4 linked regions of the Xenopus tropicalis genome follow. The protein of the gene in region 1 interacts with the protein of each later gene in a pairwise test. Links are inferred from orthologs where the notes say so. Each region holds a gene or a part of one and is shown on either strand. Other genes may lie near its edges.

Region 1 (5,455 bases):
TATGGAGATAGAGAGTGACAGCTGTTTTCAAACGTATTGTCTTTTTAACAAACTGTTAAGCAGGATGAAGGCTCTGGGTCAATCAGTTTTTTTTAAGTTTAAATAAGTCATATGATTAAAGGCTTCCCCTCTGTTCTGATCATTTAGAACACCAATTGTAATGTAAGGAAAGCCACAGGAAGTTTAGAAGCTGGTAATACCTATAAGGGCTCTGGTACACGGGGAAAATCGCAGAAAAAGCCTCGCGAGTCTTTTTCGCCGATTTGTGCGAAATCGCGCTGCCGCGTCTGCCATCCCGCCGGCGACTTACACGTACGCCGGTGGGATGGCAGGGGGAAGGCAACTCGGGGAGATTAGTCGCCCGCGAGCAGGGAGTTTTGTCGCGGGCGACTAATCTCCCCGTGTACCAGAGCCCTAAAAGATACACAAGCCTTTGCTTCCTGTGGGGCAAGTGTTTTATTTCACTTTTCATTTGACTACTGTAACCTGCTACTAACCGGCCTCCCTAACTCCAATCTCTCCCCCCTACAGTCTATATTAAATACTGCTGCCAGAATTCTCCTCCTCTCATCCAGGAGAGTTCAGGCCCTTCCCCTGCTAAAGTCCTTATCGTGGCTTCCTGTTAAACAAAGAATATCTTACAAACTCCTTCTCTTAAAGGAACAGTAACACCAAAAAATCAAAGTGTATAAAAGTAACTAAAATATAATGTGCTGTTGCCCTGCACTGGTAAAAGTTGTGTGTTTACTTCAGAAAGTCTACTATAATTTATATAAATAAGTTGCTATGTAGCCATGGAGGTAGCCATTCAAAGGAGAAAAGGCACAGGCACATAGCAGATAACAGATAAAACACTATTGTATTCCACAGAGCTTATCTGTTATCTGCTATGTAACCTGTGCCTTTTCTCCAGCTTGAATGGCTGCCCCCCATGGCTACACAGCAGCTTATTATATAAATTATAGTAGTGTTACTGTAGCAAACACACCAGTTTTACCAGTGCAGGGCAACAGTGCATTATATTTTTATTACTTTAAAGCTCTTTCATTTTTTGGTGTTACTGTTCCTTTAACCTTCAAAGCCCTCCATTCCTCTGCTCCTCACTACATCTCTTCCCTTGTGTCTCTGTATGTTCCTGGCCGACTCCTTCGTTCCTCACAGAGCGATCGTTTGGTTGCGCCCCCCACTACTACTGCTGTTTCCCGCCTTAAACTTTTCTGCCTTGCTGCCCCTTACATTTGGAATGCCCTCCCTGATTTCCTCCGAAGAGAATCCTCCCCCAGTCTTTTTAAAATTAAACTTAAAGACTACCTTTTGGAGCACTCACCCAGCACCTGATCTGGGAATCAGCACTTATATTGTAGTGTCACCCACTGTGACCTACAGCACTTATAGTGCATTTGCCTATTTGTGTCTGTAAGTTACCCTCCCATATAGATTGTAAGCTCTACGGGGACCTCCATCTTCTTGTGTCTTTGACTCTTAACTTATTGCAACTGTATTTATCTTGTATCTATCTGTATTTATTGTTGTACTTTGTATTTATCTATTATTTAATAATCCCCTGTTTGTATTAATGTATTGTACTGTACAGCGCTGCATACATAAGTAGCGCTTTATAAATTAAGATATACATACATACATACATACTTTTCACTATATGAACAGGTTGCAGTCAATATGCAAACGGTTTGAACTACTACAAACAAATAAAATACCCTTCATGTATACTACAGTAGTTTATCTATGTTATGCTTTTATTACAAATAAATATTTCTGTAACACTGAACATGTGATCTGAATGAAACCGTTAGCACTGCTAGCTGCTGCTGCTACAAAGCTAAAGAAGAATTTAACTCATTCTACTTTTTTATTAATAAATACATACCTGATGCAGACAAGGCCAGCTGTAAAACACAAACATAACATCAGAATACAGAACACAATGCAGTTTTAACGATCAGCGTTGTTATATAAACACACATACAGAAACTACAAGCAGTGGCATTTTACAAGCGTCTCTTCCATACAATACATATAAACAAAATCTGTTTACACTAACAAATCAGTGTTTATACTTTGGACACATTATCTGTTTAGCCTTGCGGTCGTTTGTGAAAAAATATTCATTTTAAACATATGAATCTGAACATACTTTGCGTTTTCTGGCTTAAGCCAAGTGAGTTTTAATGATATAATGAAATATGTAAAGCAAAATGCACTTTCTTTGGCTAAGACAAAAAACAATATTGTACCAGCTGTGCTTACAGGTTCTATTGGAATATTTGTGCTTAAAATGGCTGTGCTTGCAGATATAGCCTAGTTTATAATTCAATTGTAGAATTATGAAGACATTGATTTTCTAGAACAAGCATCAAAGGATCCTCTAATTGTCACCTTTAATTTCAAGCATCTACAGGGCACAGGCACATATGTACCAGCAATGTAGAATCTGCAGTTCCAGGGTTTCAGTTTAATCCAACAACACAAATCATGGCGTGGATCAAAGGGGCTCAATAAGTGAAAGGATTAATATATTCACTGTAAGATTGGGTTAAACATAGAAGATTGCAGGGTACAGTGAAAATACATCAAGAGAACCTGTTAAAATTTGCTTATAACAAGATTACAAAATGTCAAAGGGGAACTGATGCAAAAATAAAAATCAGCTTTATCTTAAGAAAATATGATTGGTCAAAAAATATATTTTGTACTATTTCTTTAATATTTAAGTTACTCTTCAGTCTGTTTTTTTTGTTCATGGAGTAGTCAGTGAGGACTAATTCATCATTGGGGATGCATTCCAATTGCCTAAAGGAAATCACTCTTTCAAAATAACCAACTCGCACACAATCTTGATCCTCTACATGAATTATTTGTGCTTAAGTCTGCTTTTATGAAAGAATTAACTCAAATACATCTTCTATGGCAGGCAATGGGAGCCCCACCCAATAGCTGTATTAAACATGATTGTCAATCATAATCAGACTCCTGCTTCAAGAAAAAAAAAAAAACAGAAAACATTGAAACAATGTAACAGTAAGGTCTCCATTTTTATTTTATTTTATTTTATTTTTTTAAATCATTGCAGACAATTTTCCTTTTTTCATTGCAAAAAAATAGTTTTTGTATGGAGGCAAATTTTAATACGTTTAGAAGGTTTGTTTTTCATGACATGCAACTTATATTGCATTTTAGTTACCCTTTAACATGCTGTAGCTACAGGTCACATGATATGGTTCTAAGAGCATTCAACACATTCCAACTAGTACTCTGGGCCTCATTCTTTCCCCTCATCCAATGCTTTGAGTCCTTTATAGGGGAACAGTTTCAGTTGGGGTGAAGCTTTCCTGAATATTTCGGTCTTGTACTTTACTGATAGCTTTCTGACCGTAGCCGAACCCCCTAACAATGCATTCCTACAGCAAACTAAATACATACCCACTGAAGGACACAGTCTCAGCAAAGCAGAATTAACAAGCTTAGCAGAGACCTGCCTACAGGGCAGACACATCACATTCCACTCACCAGTACAAATGCCCACACACGCTGACAACAGGTTCCCGCGCTGTCTCCAAGCAGATATTACACTCATAAGCCGCACCGGGGCTGCCAGCAGCCGCCGCCATGGCAACCGATCAACCGGAACCTAGCTGTGCAACTAGCGGAGCGTCACGGGAAAGGTTAAAGAGTGTATTGGACGCAAAGATAAACAAATCTTGTGTGTGATAGGGTGGACAAGTTCTCCATCACAATTATGCACCCCTATTGGCTATGCACTTTCTAGTTAGCTGTCAAGCAGTCAAAATGCTGATTGGTGATACTAGGATAATACGTGACATCGATTGGTTGTAACTCCCGTCACTCAAATGCTGACGACACCTCTTGTCTCGGATAACCGTTATGACGCGGCGTCTTGCGTTCGTGCGGGAGTGGAATACACGTTCCGGGCCCACAGGGTTTTTTTTTGTTGTAGGTTAAAAACTTTATTCCTTGTTAAAAGAAGGCAATAATGAACAATCCTTATTTGTAATCGGAGGTGAAGACTGTTATGGTAAAATTATTCGAGTAGAGTTACCAGCAGTGATACGTATTTTATAAACTACCGGATAACAATATATTTTATTGAAACTTGTGCAATATTATGCGATAGTTTCATAAGTGATGTGTTTAGAGGCCTGTCACCGGCAAAATCTGCAAGCAAACTTTGTATCTGTGCTATTAACGCTTAAGTACACACACATACTTCCACCCAGCCCTATATTATATTTATAGCTTTTACTTTGTAAACGGAAGATTCTGTTGGTTATATTTAGCATCGTTCAGACTGTAGGTCGGAAAACAAAATCGATGACTGGTTTTTTTTGGTGGGGGGAGGTGGTTTTCTATGTTTTTTCCTTTAGTGAATTTTCTTCCTACTAAAGGCAGTACTGATTCAAATTTATATATTATTATTTATTCTAAACCAGTTCTTGAAGCAACACCAAGCCTGACTTCCAGGCTAAATCTTAGTTCCCTGAGAACAAGTTTGATAAACCCTGATTAAGATATTTTAAATGTAAGTAATAGTAGTAAGAATGCAGGACAAAATGCCATATATTTAGTTCCTATAATTTTGTAGATGACAGTTTTTTGTTTTAATAACTATAGATACAATAAATGCATGTGTTTTCCTTTAGTAAGGTTACTGTATTACTGTAATAAATACATTTTTTGTTACTTAGAATCTGAAGATAAGTGGTTCCTGTATAATGAAACCATACAGAAACAACTCTTAAGGTGGCCATACACGGGCCGGTTGTAGCTGCCGATATCGGTCCCTTAGACCAATTCGGCAGCTTATCGGCCCGTGTAGGGGCAGGAACAACGGGCGACCTCACCAAGCGAGCGGATCTTAACATGTATGGTCACCTTTAGGGTAGTGGCACTTAGAGTCAGGCCAGGACTGGCAATCTGTGGATTCTGGCAAATGGCAGAAGAGCTGCTGCAAGGTGACAGACCATCGTTATCTATTGGGCTTTCTGGGAGCAGTTTGGGCGTCTCTGTAGTTTAAATTCCCATACATATTTTGAATTCCAGTCTGGACCTTATAGGAGTGCCACATTTAGAAGCAGGTCAAAAATGCAGCCCCAAAGTCAGGTATTGACACCCACCAATTTATATTTAATGACTGAATGGCTCTACTGCAAGCATGTGTCAAGCATTACAGAGTACGGCAAGTGGTGGGTGACCTTAGGCTATCTGTTGCCACAGTTATGGATTGCTTAAAAAAGCAGTGCAGAAAAACATGCTATTGCTTTTAGTGTAGTGGTACAAGGGTCAGGCTCTGTGCACTTTGTTTTTAAATAGACAAAAATGCTGCATCATAGTGCCTTAAAACTACAACTCATAGACTGGCATTGAAATTGTCTGAATTTTGCGCGCTCTTGTCAGGCAGTGGTTGTCTGAAAAAGCA
Region 2 (4,796 bases), on another chromosome or scaffold:
TAATAGAGAAACAAAAAAATCTGGGTTCAGGGAGAAAGGTTATTCTGGGGGCTTTAAAGTGTAATTTTAGGCGATTTTAAAACAGACTTACTTATCTTTAACTTTCAATTACCAGGGAAAGAGAGCTTTTACCAACCACAATAGCTCACATCTTTGTCATACAGGTTTATACAAGGGAAAATTGTAATCCTCGAATTATGTTTTGCATAAATAAGTGTTAAACTAGTAACTGTGTGCAAAAGCTCTCATCCTACAAAATTACTCTACTATAAAGACATGTCTCATTTATAAACCATAAGGCAGGGATCCCCAACCTATTTTACCCATGAGAAAAATTTCAATTAAAACAAGCTGGGGAGCAACTCAAGCACAAAAACTTTCCTAGTAGGTGACCAATAAGGACTCAAATTGGTTAATAAGAGCCGAATGTGGACTGGCAGACTACTAGAGGCTTGGTTCACGTGGTCTTTATGCCTCCAAGTCAGAAATTAAAAAATGGGCACCAACTTTGAGGCCATTGGAAGCAACATCAACATCAACATCAACATGTTGCTCACAAGCCACAGGTTGGGGATCACAGCCTTAAAAGACAAGGAAAGGTTAAGTCACTTGGGGATGCCAAAATGTTAGGCACCCCCAAGTGACTTTAATCGCTTACCTTGTACCCCGGTACCTGTAGCGAGCGCTTCCTCCTTCCTGCTTCGTTTTGCCGGGACCCCAGGACCGGCGCATGCGCAGTAGAGTGAAAAGCCGACTTCTCTGTTTAAGTTCAGCTTTTCACTCTAATGCGCATGCGCGTGCGTGAGCGATACAGGAAGGAGGAAGCGCTCGCTGCAGCTACCCTGGGCTGGTGCTGTTTTCTCCTAACAGGGGCACCAGCCCAGGGTAAAAGGTAAGCAATTTAAGTCAATTGGGGGTGCCTAACATTTTGTCTTAATAGTAACATCCTGTAATGTCTTAAGCTCTGGGTGGCATTAAAAATGATTTATTTAAAGAGACATGAATTGATTGGTTCTAGTTATCAATATTAAGTTAGCATGCAAGATTTCTCAGAAACAAATACATTTCAGATGTCCATGCAGACACATGAAAGGCCCATCTATTCACTCATGATCTATAAAGATTCAGTGCCGCTGGCAAACTCACCTTTTCTTTGCAGCTGGAAAGCATGCTGATAATGCTAAGACAGACAGACTGAACAGACAGGGCTGGGGACCAATCTTCGGTTAATATTGATAAACATATATGGCCGTTGCTATATACATGAGGATGAACAGGGATGTTGTCACCAGTAAACATAACCTAAAAAGAGGAAATGTGCAAGGTGTAAGGTTATATAACAGGCTTATTAATACTGCATATATCATAATCACGTCTGGCACCTAGCACCCTGATGGCACATGTTTACTGTGGGATTCTATCAGTTAATTTTAAAGGGGGGGACAGGTTGGCCATACCTATTTTAGATGCATGTACATTTAAAAGTAATGCAGAGGGTCAAAACATGAAAAATAATATATTACTGCAAATATTGTTTTTCATGTAATGTTTAGGATATATGAGTAGAATATAGTAACTTATGACATGAGGGGTAATTTCTAGCTAGCTGAAAAGTGCCCATGACTGCCACCCACAGTTCCATGCACTTGAATAAGAAACAGGCGGCACTGAAGAGTATGCACTCACTCTGAACATATTTAGCCTATCCAGTCTGACCATTATAGTGCCCATTCTTCCCCAGAGGCTAACTTACAGTTAATGATGTTGACCTGTTACATTTGATTTATAACAGGGGTCAGGAAAGTGCTATGTGTGCCATTTAGAGCAAACAGATCTACAGGGGGCCTTCCTTGTGTATGTAACACAAACTGCAACTGAACATCAGGAATAATTTGTCTGGTTCCTAACAGGTTTAAAAGGTAAGCAGGCTTTACCCTCTCCAGTTACTAGGTCTTTGCAGGGCTGATTCTAATGTGTAGCTAATTTACAAACCACAAAAAAAATTAATTACCTTGGATCCTGGAGCTGATAAAGTTCAGATAATTGTCAACACTACAAATGATGCATACTAAAATTTGGCATGTAAAATAAAAATAAGCCTAACCAAAGGGGCTGTGATTTACTGTTTGTTAGCCCCATGTTGAATGCTAGCTAGCAGGAGGCTCTCGGTGTTTCCAAAACGTGTCTCTGGGAGGCCATTGGGAGCAACTAGTATTACTTCCTTTGGTAAATACAATATTATTGCCAAGTACAAAAGGTCCAATGGAAATAAATACAATATTCTAAATAGCTTAAACACAGAAAAAAAAGTGGGGGGGGGGGGGGGGGGAGTCAAATGATTTATGTACATTCCCTGGCCCTACGTTTCATTAGTTATTTTTTTGTGCAAGTGCATATATATTATATAAAATTATATTTTAGATTTATATTATATATAGATATTTTCTTGAAGCAAATATAAGCAAGAAAAAATATTGTACACACACAGAAAGTAACTAGATAGTAAGTAAGATCTACCTAGATAGTAGTATGTACCCCACTAGGAATTCTAAGTTTTTAAGAAAAAGGTATCGCTACCTACCAGTTATAAAATACACACATATACTTGCATTTCAAACTTAGTAAAACATGTAAATTAAAAGACTAAAATATTTAAGTTACATACTTTCCCGCTTCTTGAGAGAAACTAAAAAACTATGAGTATGTTAAACATTTTTGTGATTTAGTGATATTTACTCATTCTGAAATGCCATTATTTTTTTTATTTTATTTTTTTACACAGACATCAGACATACCAGATTCCACAAACTGAAAGGAGTTCATGATAGTCTGTCTCTGTGAACACTGGGAGCAGTTCTTTATCTGGTCTAGGCTCCCAGTGTAACTGTTGAAGTCCCTCTGCTTTCCATAGTGGGTGGTGCACAGATTCTCTGAAAAGCAGGGGGACATCAAGCCCCATAATACATTTCTATTTATCGTCACAAGTTCAGATATTATTCATGCACCATTTTTTACATAAGCCCAACAGAATGAGCTTACAGGGGACGAGGTTAAGTGATATGCGGGTCAGGAAAAATTCAACCCGCAAATGCTTAAGTTGCACCCAATCCTAACCCACAAAATATTGCCATTGTAAGACTTGAACCCAACCCATAACCATCTTTTCACTCTCTACGCTACTTCTGTGCTCACCTTAGACAGGAAAACCTTAGGAGCAAAGGAAGGGTGTACTTCCCCGGTCTGACCCATACCCTACTGAACCCATAACAGTTGTGAAAATTTTAACCCTAACCTGCTTGACCTAAGAGTAAACCTGTGGGTGTTGGGGGACAACCCATACATCACTAGAGGGGGTATATACAAAAAAATACATATGCTTCCTACCTACAAAAAAAATACTGTTTAAATAATTTACGGTAAATTTTTAGGATATGGCATATGTATCCTGTAGGTCTGCAGTCACAAAGGCAGAATATGAGCAATTCTTTGTTTTTACTTACGGTACACGATTTGCTCAAAAAAACATTACCTGAGGGGAATCAAAAGGATATCGACTGCTGAACTTAAATAAAAGCTGGAATTTCTCTCCTTCATATAATGTACCAGGCGCTCCTTCCATATCTACAATCCACCTAAAAATAAACGGATAGGAAATATTAATTGTTCTGTAAAAAAAAATATTGTTTTCCAAACATACAACCCCAACACAAACCAGAAATCCCTTTAAATTAAACTATAACCCTCTTGCCCTGTTGGCCAGTGTGAATAAGGGATCAGGGATGTGTTCCTAATTCCAGAAATGAGCACCTTGCTCTAACAGGAGTGACCAAACATCTTCCCTCCTTCCTCTTAACCTACATGTAAATGAATGGACAAACACACAGGTTTCACTACATAATATTAATATATCATTGGCTACTGTTGTGCACACAATATTGTCAGGTATTGAATCTAAATAAATGCCTCAACCTTGGAGGAAATACTGAGAGCGGCAGCTCACTTTTCTCCTGGGCAATGCATGCAAATATTAGCTCAGCACAGGGTGTTATGGAGTAACAAGCTCCAGGCAACAGGCTCTGGGCATTACGGCATGATACAAAAGGAGTCAATGTACACAGATCCATTACTCATGCTCATTAAAGGTTTATAATGCAAGATATTAAATTTGGATACTTTTATGGCATCACTGCACTTTTTTTCACAGCTCAATCATAAATTGGAAATACAATATAAATAACAATTAAGTTAATGGCAAGTTCATTAGATCTGTGTAGACAAGATCACACACAAAGCCAAATATTTCAATATTTATCTTCACTATGTAAAAATAATACCAGAAAAGTATGTTTTCTTAATATAAAACACATGGGGTCAAAAAAAACCGTTTAAGTCAGCTAACATTGGATTCTTGGGAGAAAGTTAATCTTTTAGCAGGATAATTATCCCAAACACAAGGCAGTTAACACTGGAGTGGCTCAAGGAAAAGAATGGTGAATAGGTTGCAATGTGCCAGAATCTGTTTAAAAATTAAGGTGCACAAGGGTCATCTTGAATAACAAAGAGAAAAGCTGGAAATACGGCCCCAAAAACATGCAAAGCTGGAGAACTAATTTGGTTACAAATATGGCTAGAAATGCTAAACTTACTGTACCACCCCAGAACTTCAGCATCCCTGTAACAGGCATAATCCAGGCCTACAAAGCTGTCAATAGGAGCTTGCCAGCTTGAATCTTGTTAGGCCAACTTGTGCGCGCTGTTGACAAGCTATGTTTAAGGGGTTCATGGAAATTATCAAG
Region 3 (4,796 bases), about 1.3 Mb from region 1:
ATTGATAGGACTAGATAAAAACACTTTTACATTAAAATAATGGTATTTTATGCTGTTGGGTTTTTTCTATCCCCATTAGGTTTCAGTCTTGTGGACCATTTCCTATTATTCATCCCCTCTTGCTATCTGCTATATGTACAGAAAAGGTATGGAATCTTGTCAACATGCAATCAATACAGTAATTAATATAGTTTGTGTTGTGTTCGCTGCCATAAAGGTGAAAAATTATCCACAAACTTTCTTAGCGTACACATATGGAAGCTGTTATTTGATGATGTGATTATACAATTTGTAATGATGGTGTTACTATTTTGCTGCAGATTTCTACAGAACTGCCACAGACAAAAAAGGTGTTGACTAGCAAAATTGCACAGCTCTTGGTTTTGCTTGGGTATACTGGGACACCATAATGCTTTGGCAGTTATCAGTAATGTGATTTAAATGGGTACCTGGGGTCCAGTGTATTGGTGTTAAATACATTTTTATTTTTTTTTTATTTTTTTTAAAAAGTAGGAAAAAATAATTATTCCATACTGGATACCCCATAATTCTCCAGATAAACAACAACAACAACACAGCAGTGCAACACACAGAATATTTATTGGCTACAGATCAAATTAAAAAAATTCAGTAAAAAATGCATACCATACCAAATGACCATAGTCACTTCCTAGTGCCACATGGCCCCCATGCTCCGCCCTACTTATACGTTTCCCACCATTGGGGGCTTCATCAGAGATATAGTCTGATATAGTGCAAAATGCATGCATATGGAAACAGAGCATAGGGGCCATGAGGCACTAGCAAATATCTTTGGTTTCTTTGGTATTGTAACCAATAAATGTTCTGTGTGTAGCACTGCTATATTAGCTGCTTTAGCGCTAAATTACATACACTGGATGTCTTTTTTTCTGTCTTTAAGTTGATTAATAATGACAGCCAGTTATCCATCCAACAGCTTTTCAAACCATCCTTCAAACAACTAACCATTAACTCTTTCATTGTACAGTCACTGTGAGCTCAGACTGATGTGCATAATGTCCCAAAGTTAATGCAATGTGACATGGAGTTTTTCAGGGGCTTAACCTTTCAGTTGCTGAAAAAAATCCCTACTACAGACTAACATTGCAATTACCTGACAATTGGTTATATCAGCAATTGTCAGGAGATTGTTGCTTATAAAGGGTGCACAGCTACTTTTTCGAACAACTGTCACCTAATAAGCACTGGCAGAAGTGCCTGACTTGTGATTATAGTGTAAGTAAGTGGGGTGTTGTTTTGGGTGCTTTAACACTGTATTTATGCTTGTTTGTATGACTTTCCCAATATTTTCCTTCTTAATACTAATTTTAACCTATTCAGTTGTCTTAACTACTGATTATGCACTCATTTTTTTAATTCTATTGGTACTGCTTTCTTGACATGCCATCTCTTATGTTCAGCTCTTCTGCCTCCTTTTCTGTACTTCCAGTCTTCTGAAAAAACATGTGTATGTAGAATGTTATTTAACTTTTTTGTTTAATTTTTGTTATTTCCCTTTACAAAAATGCCTGATGTAGTTAGATCTGTGCTTTTGATATCTCTGTGCTGACAATCATCTTTTTGGGTTTCAGGTTATCTGAACATGTCCCGATTGGTTCCCCTTGGACAATATGGTCTGACATTTCTACTTCTGCTGGCAGGGGTTGTGTGCTTGAGAGGTAAGGAAAACTATAGGACAAAGCATGATTAAAAAACAGAGCTACGTGTACTTACTATTTTACACACTGCTTTATAAGAATGCTGATCCTGCATTAGCAATTAAATTCTTCCCTTTAATGATGTATAAGACACTTATAGCTAGTTATATATAGATTGGTGGGGTTTAGCAACTTCATTGCTAAGCCTCATGTTTAGTAGTTTTACTAAATTATGACAGTGGATCTTAGTTTGATTTTATCTGCTGATGACCTCTTTATGAGTATGCAGTTCAGATGTGATCTGGCCATCAACATAACTGGACTGATTACGCATAAGGTTCTCATGTGGCCAAATGGCCCCAGTCAGATGATGTGGAAAAATGCAACTTATCACTTTTTACATTGTACTGTCTTTCCCTGCAGGTATTGGCAGATGGAGCAACCCTCATTATATTCAGTTTATTTACATTTTAGAGAGAACCAAGATAGAAAACAACCCAGAGAACAAAGTAAGGTGCTAGAGCATGCCTGTGTTGCATAGGTGCTTTTTCTGCCTGTATGCCATTTAATTACAACTGTAATTTCCAAGTTCCAGGTGCTGTGTTTTTTTAAATATGTGATACATAAGTATTATGGTGTGTGTGATGGGTGGAGACTGCAACTAAAAAAATGGGTTTGCAGTATTAACATAAGTGCCTTGATATTTGAGTAAGCATATCTGAGAGATTATGGTTTATTGTTACATATTTTTAAGAGGGAGTGGCTAATTCCTAAACCTCATTTCAACATAACTTTTTTCATACATTCTCTCTTGTTCTGCCTATGAATTGTGCTTATTAGGTGACAGTTGTTTGAAAAAGCAGTTGTGCAGCTTTTCATGCAACAATGTCCTGACAAGTGCTGTTGGGGGATTTTTCAGCAACTGAAATATTAAGCCCCTGAAAAAGCTCCATGTCACATTGCAAAGATGAAGCAAGGCAGGCATTATACGTTCACTAAGTATGCTAAGATACCAGGAGGGAGCTTCTAGGGCTCTTTACTCGGGTACAGTGGCTTGCAAAAGTATTCGGCCCCCTTGAAATTTTTTACATTTTGTCACATTACAGCCACAAACATGAATCAAATTTATTGGAATTCCACGTGAAAGACCAATACAAAGTGGTGTACACGTGAGAAGTGGAACGAAAATCATACATGATTCCAAACATTTTTTACAAATAAATAACTGCAAAGTGGGGTGTGCGTAATTATTCAGCCCCCTTTGGTCTGAGTGCAGTCAGTTGCCCATAGACATTGCCTGATGAGTGCTAATGACAGTACAAATACAGCTGCTCTGTGACGGCCTCAGAGGTTGTCTAAGAGAATATTGGGAGCAACAACACCATGAAGTCCAAAGAACACACCAGACAGGTCAGGGATAAAGTTATTGAGAAATTTAAAGCAGGCTTAGGCTACAAAAAGATTTCCAAAGCCTTGAACATCCCACGGAGCACTGTTCAAGCGATCATTTAGAAATGAAAGGAGTATGGCACAACTGCAAACCTACCAAGACAAGGCCGTCCACCTAAACTCACAGGCCGAACAAGGAGAGCGTTGATCAGAAATGCAGCCAAGAGGCCCATGGTGACTCTGGACGAGCTGCAGAGATCTACAGCTCAGGTGGGGGAATCTGTCCATAGGACAACTATTAGTCGTGTACTGCACAAAGTTGGCCTTTTATGGAAGAGTGGCAAGAAGAAAGCCATTGTTAACTGAAAACCATAAGAAGTCCCGTTTGCAGTTTGCCACAAGCCATGTGGGGGACACAGTAAACATGTGGAAGAAGGTGCTCTGGTCAGATGAGACCAAAATGGAACTTTTTGGCCAAAATGCAAAACACTATGTGTGGCGGAAAACTAACACTGCACATCACTCTGAACACACCATCCCCACTGTCACATATGGTGGTGGCAGCATCATGATCTGGGGGTGCTTCTCTTCAGCAGGGACAGGGAAGCTGGTCAGAGTTGATGGGAAGATGGATGGAGCCAAATACAGGGCAATCTTGGAAGAAAACCTCTTGGAGTCTGCAAAAGACTTGAGACTGGGGCGGAGGTTCACTTTCCAGCAGGACAACGACCCTAAACATAAAGCCAGGGCAACAATGGAATGGTTTAAAACAAAACATATCCATGTGTTAGAATGGCCCAGTCACAGTCCAGATCTAAATCCAATCGAGAATCTGTGGCAAGATCTGAAAACTGCTGTTCACAAACGTTGTCCATCTAATCTGACTGAGCTGGAGCTGTTTTGCAAAGAAGAATGGGCAAGGATTTCAGTCTCTAGATGTGCAAAGCTGGTAGAGACATACCCTAAAAGACTGGCAGCTGTAATTGCAGCAAAAGGTGGTTCTACAAAGTATTGACTCAGGGGGCTGAATAATTACGCACACCCCACTTTGCAGTTATTTATTTGTAAAAAATGTTTGGAATCGTATGATTTTCGTTCCACTTCTTACGTGTACACCACTTTGTATTGGTCTTTCACGTGGAATTCCAATAAAATTGATTCATGTTTGTGGCTGTAATGTGACAAAATGTGGAAAAGTTCAAGGGGGCCAAATACTTTTGAAAGCCACTGTATGTTAAAGCTTTCTGCAGAATAAATATAGCATTCTAGGTGGCTCTAATGTGGCTAATCTATTGGCAGTAAAATGCCGAAATGACTTTCCTTCTCCTTTTAATCAAGTAATTCAGAAATGTAGAACATGTTTATTTTTTCTTTGTAATAATAAAACAGTAACTTGTACTGTACTTGATTCCAACTAAGATAAAAATAATTCTTATTGAAGGCAAAACAATCCTGTTAAATTCATTTAATGTTTAAATTACCTTTTAGTAGATTTAAAGGACAATGAAAGGTTAATATAAATTAAAGTAAGTCTAAAGGCATTCTTTTTAAGTACTTACTGCATATCTAAATTCCCAGATCCCTGCTTGCTTCTCTGAGATATGGTGCTGGCAGGCTACAGCAGTGTGAAGACTACAGTGAGATCACTGAAATATCTCTGTCCTTCCTGTAGGCTGCCAGCGGCAGCCTTCCTATTCTCTGAGCATGTGTGTAACTTGATCCTGTCTG
Region 4 (4,796 bases), on another chromosome or scaffold:
CACCCATCCCATGCCAACACAGCTAGCACCATGCCAAGCCTCCTCAACCATTACCCTACAGCCCCCGCATCCTGATATGTAACCCACCATCCATGCCAACACAGCTAGCACCATGCCAAGCCTCCTCAACCAATACCCTACAGCCCCCGCATCCTGATATGTACCACCCATCCCAACACAGCTAGCACCATGCCAAGCCTCCTCAACCAATACCCTACAGCCCCCGCATCCTGATATGTACCCACCCATCCCAACACAGCTAGCACCATGCCAAGCCTCCTCAACCAATACCCTACAGCCCCCCATCCTGATATGTACCGCACCATCCCATGCCAACACAGCTAGCACCATGCAAAGCCTCCTCAACCAATACCCTACAGCCCCCCATCCTGATATGTACCCACCCATCCCAACACAGCTAGCACCATGCCAAGCCTCCTCAACCAATACCCTACAGCCCCCCCATCTGATATGTACCCACCCATCCATCCCAACACAGCTAGCACCATGCCAAGCCTCCTCAACCAATACCCTACAGCCCCCCCATCCTGATCTGTACCCACCCATCCCATGCCAACACAGCTAGCACCATGCCAAGCCTCCTCAACCAATTACCCTACAGCCCCCCCCCATCCTGATATGTACCCACCCATCCCATGCCAACACAGCTAGCACCATGCCAAGCCTCCTCAACCAATACCTACAGCCCCCCCCATCCTGATATGTACCCACCCATCCCAACACAGCTAGCACCCATGCCAAGCCTCCTCAACCAATACCCTGCAGCCCCCCCATCCTGATATGTACCCACCCATTCCCAACACAGCTAGCCACCATGCCAAGCCTCCTCAACCAATACCCTACAGCCCCCGCATCCTGATCTGTACCCACCCATCCCATGCCAACACAGCTAGCACCATGCCAAGCCTCCTCAACCAATACCCTACAGCCCCCGCATCCTGATCTGTACCCACCCATCCCATGCCAACACAGCTAGCACCATGCCAAGCCTCCTCAACCAATACCCTACAGCCCCCGCATCCTGATATGTACCCACCCATCCCATGCCAACACAGCTAGCACCATGCCAAGCCTCCTCAACCAATACCCTACAGCCCCCGCATCCTGATATGTAACCCACCCATCCCAACACAGCTAGCACCATGCCAAGCCTCCTCAACCAATACCCTTCAGCCCCCCCATCCTGATATGTACCCACCCATCCCATGCCAACACAGCTAGCACCATGCCAAGCTCCTCAACCAATACCCTACAGCCCCCCCCATCCTGATATGTACCCACCCATCCCATCCCAACACAGCTAGCACCATGCCAAGCCTCCTCAACCAATACCCTACAGCCCCCGCATCCTGATATGTACCCACCCATCCCAACACAGCTAGCACCATGCCAAGCCTCCTCAACCAATACCCTTCAGCCCCCCCATCCTGATATGTACCCACCCATCCCCTGCCAACACAGCTAGCACCATGCCAAGCCTCCTCAACCAATACCCTACAGCCCCCCCCCATCCTGATATGTACCCACCCATCCCAACACAGCTAGCACCATGCCAAGCCTCCTCAACCAATACCCTGCAGCCCCCCCATCCTGATATGTACCCACCCATCCCATGCCAACACAGCTAGCACCATGCCAAGCCTCCTCAACCAATACCCTACAGCCCCCGCATCCTGATCTGTACCCACCCATCCCATGCCAACACAGCTAGCACCATGCCAAGCCTCCTCAACCAATACCCTACAGCCCCCCCCATCCTGATATGTACCCACCCATCCCAACACAGCTAGCACCATGCCAAGCCTCCTCAACCAATACCCTACAGCCCCCGCATCCTGATATGTACCCACCCATCCCAACACAGCTAGCACCATGCCAAGCCTCCTCAACCAATACCCTACAGCCCCCGCATCCTGATATGTACCCACCCATCCCAACACAGCTAGCACCATGCCAAGCCTCCTCAACCAATACCCTACAGCCCCCCCATCCTGATATGTACCCACCCATCCCAACACAGCTAGCACCATGCCAAGCCTCCTCAACCAATACCCTACAGCCCCCCCATCCTGATATGTACCCACCCATCCCAACACAGCTAGCACCATGCCAAGCCTCCTCAACCAATACCCTTCAGCACCCCCATCCTGATATGTACCCACCCATCCCCTGCCAACACAGCTGGTGTCACACCCTCAGGGCCGTGAGTTCCCAGACATAGGGCAGGACCCAAAGAGCAAACAGTTGGTATCACAGGATGAGGCGTTTATTGGAGAAATGGCAAGTAGCCATCAGCAGGTTCCCATAAGCCAGTAGGTGGTAGCCAGCCTGCACTCTTGTTCCTTAGGGAGTAGGGAAATACACACAGTTGGGGGGAATCTTCTTGCCCCAGCTAAGGTAGATTCCAGGGGAACACAGGGGAGGGGGTCCTGCCGTAGCTAAGGTTACACCCCAGACAAAAGGCTCCTTGGAACTCTTGGCAGCCACCTTTGTAGCCAGAAAGGGAACAGCCCCTGTCGTAAAACCAAAACAGGATTTGACTCCTTCTGCCAACCCAAAGGCAGCTTCCAGAGGGGCCAATCATAGCTAATCCCACTGGGCCTATGGGAAGCCACCTAGTGAGCATGCCCAGTTCAGTCTTTTGCATTTACTAGACAGAGCACTGCTCTCACAAGGGGTAACTATGTGTATTGTGTCACTATGGGGTCTGGCTCTGTGTGCCCTCACAATAGGGGCAATTACATGGGGAGGGCCAGACAGAGCCGGCTGGATACACACAATACACACCTAGATGAGATTAACCTACACAATGCATTTGCTACAACAGGTAGGAGGGGGGCAGGGGGTACATTTCAGCATAAACAGAAATATCTCATGGTTTCATCCAACTTATACAGTTTGTTATGTCACAGCTAGCACCATGCCAAGCCTCCTCAACCAATACCCTACAGCCCCCCCCATCCTGATATGTACCCACCCATCCCATGCCAACACAGCTAGCACCATGCCAAGCCTCCTCAACCAATACCCTACAGCCCCCCCCCCCCATCCTGATATGTACCCACCATCCCCTGCCAACACAGCTAGCACCATGCCAAGCCTCCTCAACCAATACCCTACAGCCCCCCCATCCTGATATGTACCCACCCATCCCATGCCAACACAGCTAGCACCATGCCAAGCCTCCTCAAACCAATACCCTACAGCCCCCCCCATCCTGATATGTACCCACCCATCCCATGCCAACACAGCTAGCACCATGCCAAGCCTCCTCAACCAATACCCTACAGCCCCCCCCCATCCTGATATGTACCCACCCATCCCCTGCCAACACAGCTAGCACCATGCCAAGCCTCCTCAACCAATACCCTACAGCCCCCCCATCCTGATATGTACCCACCCATCCCATGCCAACAGAACAAGTACCAAGAATCCGACCCAGTGCACCCGCCCACCCACCATAAAGTTCTCTAAGTTTCAGCCCAGCAAGATGTGGGGGGGCCAGGACTAAGCCCCCCTGTACAGAGAGTGGTACGTACCATTTCCAGCTGCCGGCCAATGTTGCCCATAGTGATCCCCCCAGCAAAGAATATGCAGGGCAGCCAGGAGCGCACATACAGGAAATCGGGGGCCGTGTACCTGGGCACAACAAACACAGTGTCACACCCCAAGCAGCCAGTTGGGAGAGGGGCCCCTGGGGGGGGTCACAGTGGGAGGGGGGGGGCGCTGTACTCACTCATACACCCCATTGTACACCAGGAGCTGAGAGACGACTGTAGCAAAGAAAGAGATTCCAATTCCCAGGCCCAGGCCACTGCGAGAGCGGTCAAATGTCCACCACAGGCCGATGGAGAGAGCGGCCAGAGTGAGAGACAGCTGCGTGTTGTTGGCAAAGTCCACTTTCTGCACTGGAGTCAAGGAGAACCGACCCGCACTCTCGACTATTAAAGGGACAGTAACACCAATCCTTCCCACCATATGTATCACACACACGTTACCCTATTATACGATAATACTCCCCCCCCCTGGGGGCAAATGGCCTATATGTTAATAAAACTGTTAGAAGGGATATTTTTAAAGGACAAGTCAACCCAAACAAAACATTTTTGCCTAATAAAAGAAAACATGAATTTATAAAAAAAAAATTGTTAGACCTTTAAAAGTTATTAGTAAATGTAATTGCTATTCAAGAAGCATTTGCTGAACTCCTGGTTATGACTTTGAAACAATGTTTCAGGTCAGTCTCCCCCAGCGAGTCAGGTCTGTCAGGCTGCTGCCTTGTGTTACAGTGTTTCAGGGGTCAGTCTCCCCCAGCGAGTCAGGTCTGTCAGGCTGCTGCCCTGTGTTACAGTGTTTCAGGGGTCAGTCTCCCCCAGCGAGTCAGGTCTGTCAGGCTGCTGCCTTGTGTTACACTGTTTCAGGGGTCAGTCTCCCCCAGCGAGTCAGGTCTGTCAGGCTGCTGCCCTGTGTTACAGTGTTTCAGGGGTCAGTCTCCCCCAGCGAGTCAGGTCTGTCAGGCTGCTGCCCTTGTGTTACACTGTTTCAGGGGTCAGTCTCCCCCAGTGAGTCAGGTCTGTCAGGCTGCTGCCTTGTGTTACACTGTTTCAGGGGTCAGTCCTCCCCCAGCGAGTCAGGTCTGTCAGGCTGCTGCCTTGTGTTACAGTGTTTCAGGGGTCAGTCTCCCCCAGCGAGTCAGGTCTGTCAGGCTGCTGCCTTGTGTTACACTGTTTCAGGGGTCGGTCTCCCCCAGCGAGTCAGGTCTGTCAGGCTGTTGC

What was found.
Region 2: the proteins of rnf5 (region 1) and ube2w interact in binary tests that used the Homo sapiens proteins (3 or more experiments, as listed by UniProt). The link is inferred for Xenopus tropicalis from reciprocal best matches to the Homo sapiens genes RNF5 and UBE2W.
Region 3: the proteins of rnf5 (region 1) and abhd16a interact in binary tests that used the Homo sapiens proteins (3 or more experiments, as listed by UniProt). The link is inferred for Xenopus tropicalis from reciprocal best matches to the Homo sapiens genes RNF5 and ABHD16A.
Region 4: the proteins of rnf5 (region 1) and insig2 interact in binary tests that used the Homo sapiens proteins (3 or more experiments, as listed by UniProt). The two-hybrid records come from large-scale screens. The link is inferred for Xenopus tropicalis from reciprocal best matches to the Homo sapiens genes RNF5 and INSIG2.

Annotation. Positions count from the first base shown.
Region 1 is NC_030684.2:73,546,374-73,551,828, forward strand, and holds the start of rnf5 (E3 ubiquitin-protein ligase RNF5), read right to left. Parts: upstream 3,643-5,455; 5' UTR 3,630-3,642; coding exon 3,529-3,629; intron 1,908-3,528; coding exon 1,889-1,907; intron 1-1,888. Other genes in the region: agpat1 (1-acyl-sn-glycerol-3-phosphate acyltransferase alpha), read left to right, coding at 3,870-3,972. UniProt on the Homo sapiens protein: Membrane-bound E3 ubiquitin-protein ligase that mediates ubiquitination of target proteins. May function together with E2 ubiquitin-conjugating enzymes UBE2D1/UBCH5A and UBE2D2/UBC4.
Region 2 is NC_030682.2:121,362,253-121,367,048, forward strand, and holds part of ube2w (ubiquitin-conjugating enzyme E2 W), read right to left. Parts: intron 3,633-4,796; coding exon 3,530-3,632; intron 1,303-3,529; coding exon 1,147-1,302; intron 1-1,146. UniProt on the Homo sapiens protein: Accepts ubiquitin from the E1 complex and catalyzes its covalent attachment to other proteins.
Region 3 is NC_030684.2:74,875,820-74,880,615, forward strand, and holds part of abhd16a (protein ABHD16A), read left to right. Parts: intron 1-79; coding exon 80-146; intron 147-1,613; coding exon 1,614-1,700; intron 1,701-2,102; coding exon 2,103-2,188; intron 2,189-4,796. UniProt on the Homo sapiens protein: Phosphatidylserine (PS) lipase that mediates the hydrolysis of phosphatidylserine to generate lysophosphatidylserine (LPS). LPS constitutes a class of signaling lipids that regulates immunological and neurological processes.
Region 4 is NC_030685.2:90,826,385-90,831,180, forward strand, and holds part of insig2 (insulin-induced gene 2 protein), read right to left. Parts: intron 3,925-4,796; coding exon 3,758-3,924; intron 3,661-3,757; coding exon 3,561-3,660; intron 1-3,560. UniProt on the Homo sapiens protein: Oxysterol-binding protein that mediates feedback control of cholesterol synthesis by controlling both endoplasmic reticulum to Golgi transport of SCAP and degradation of HMGCR.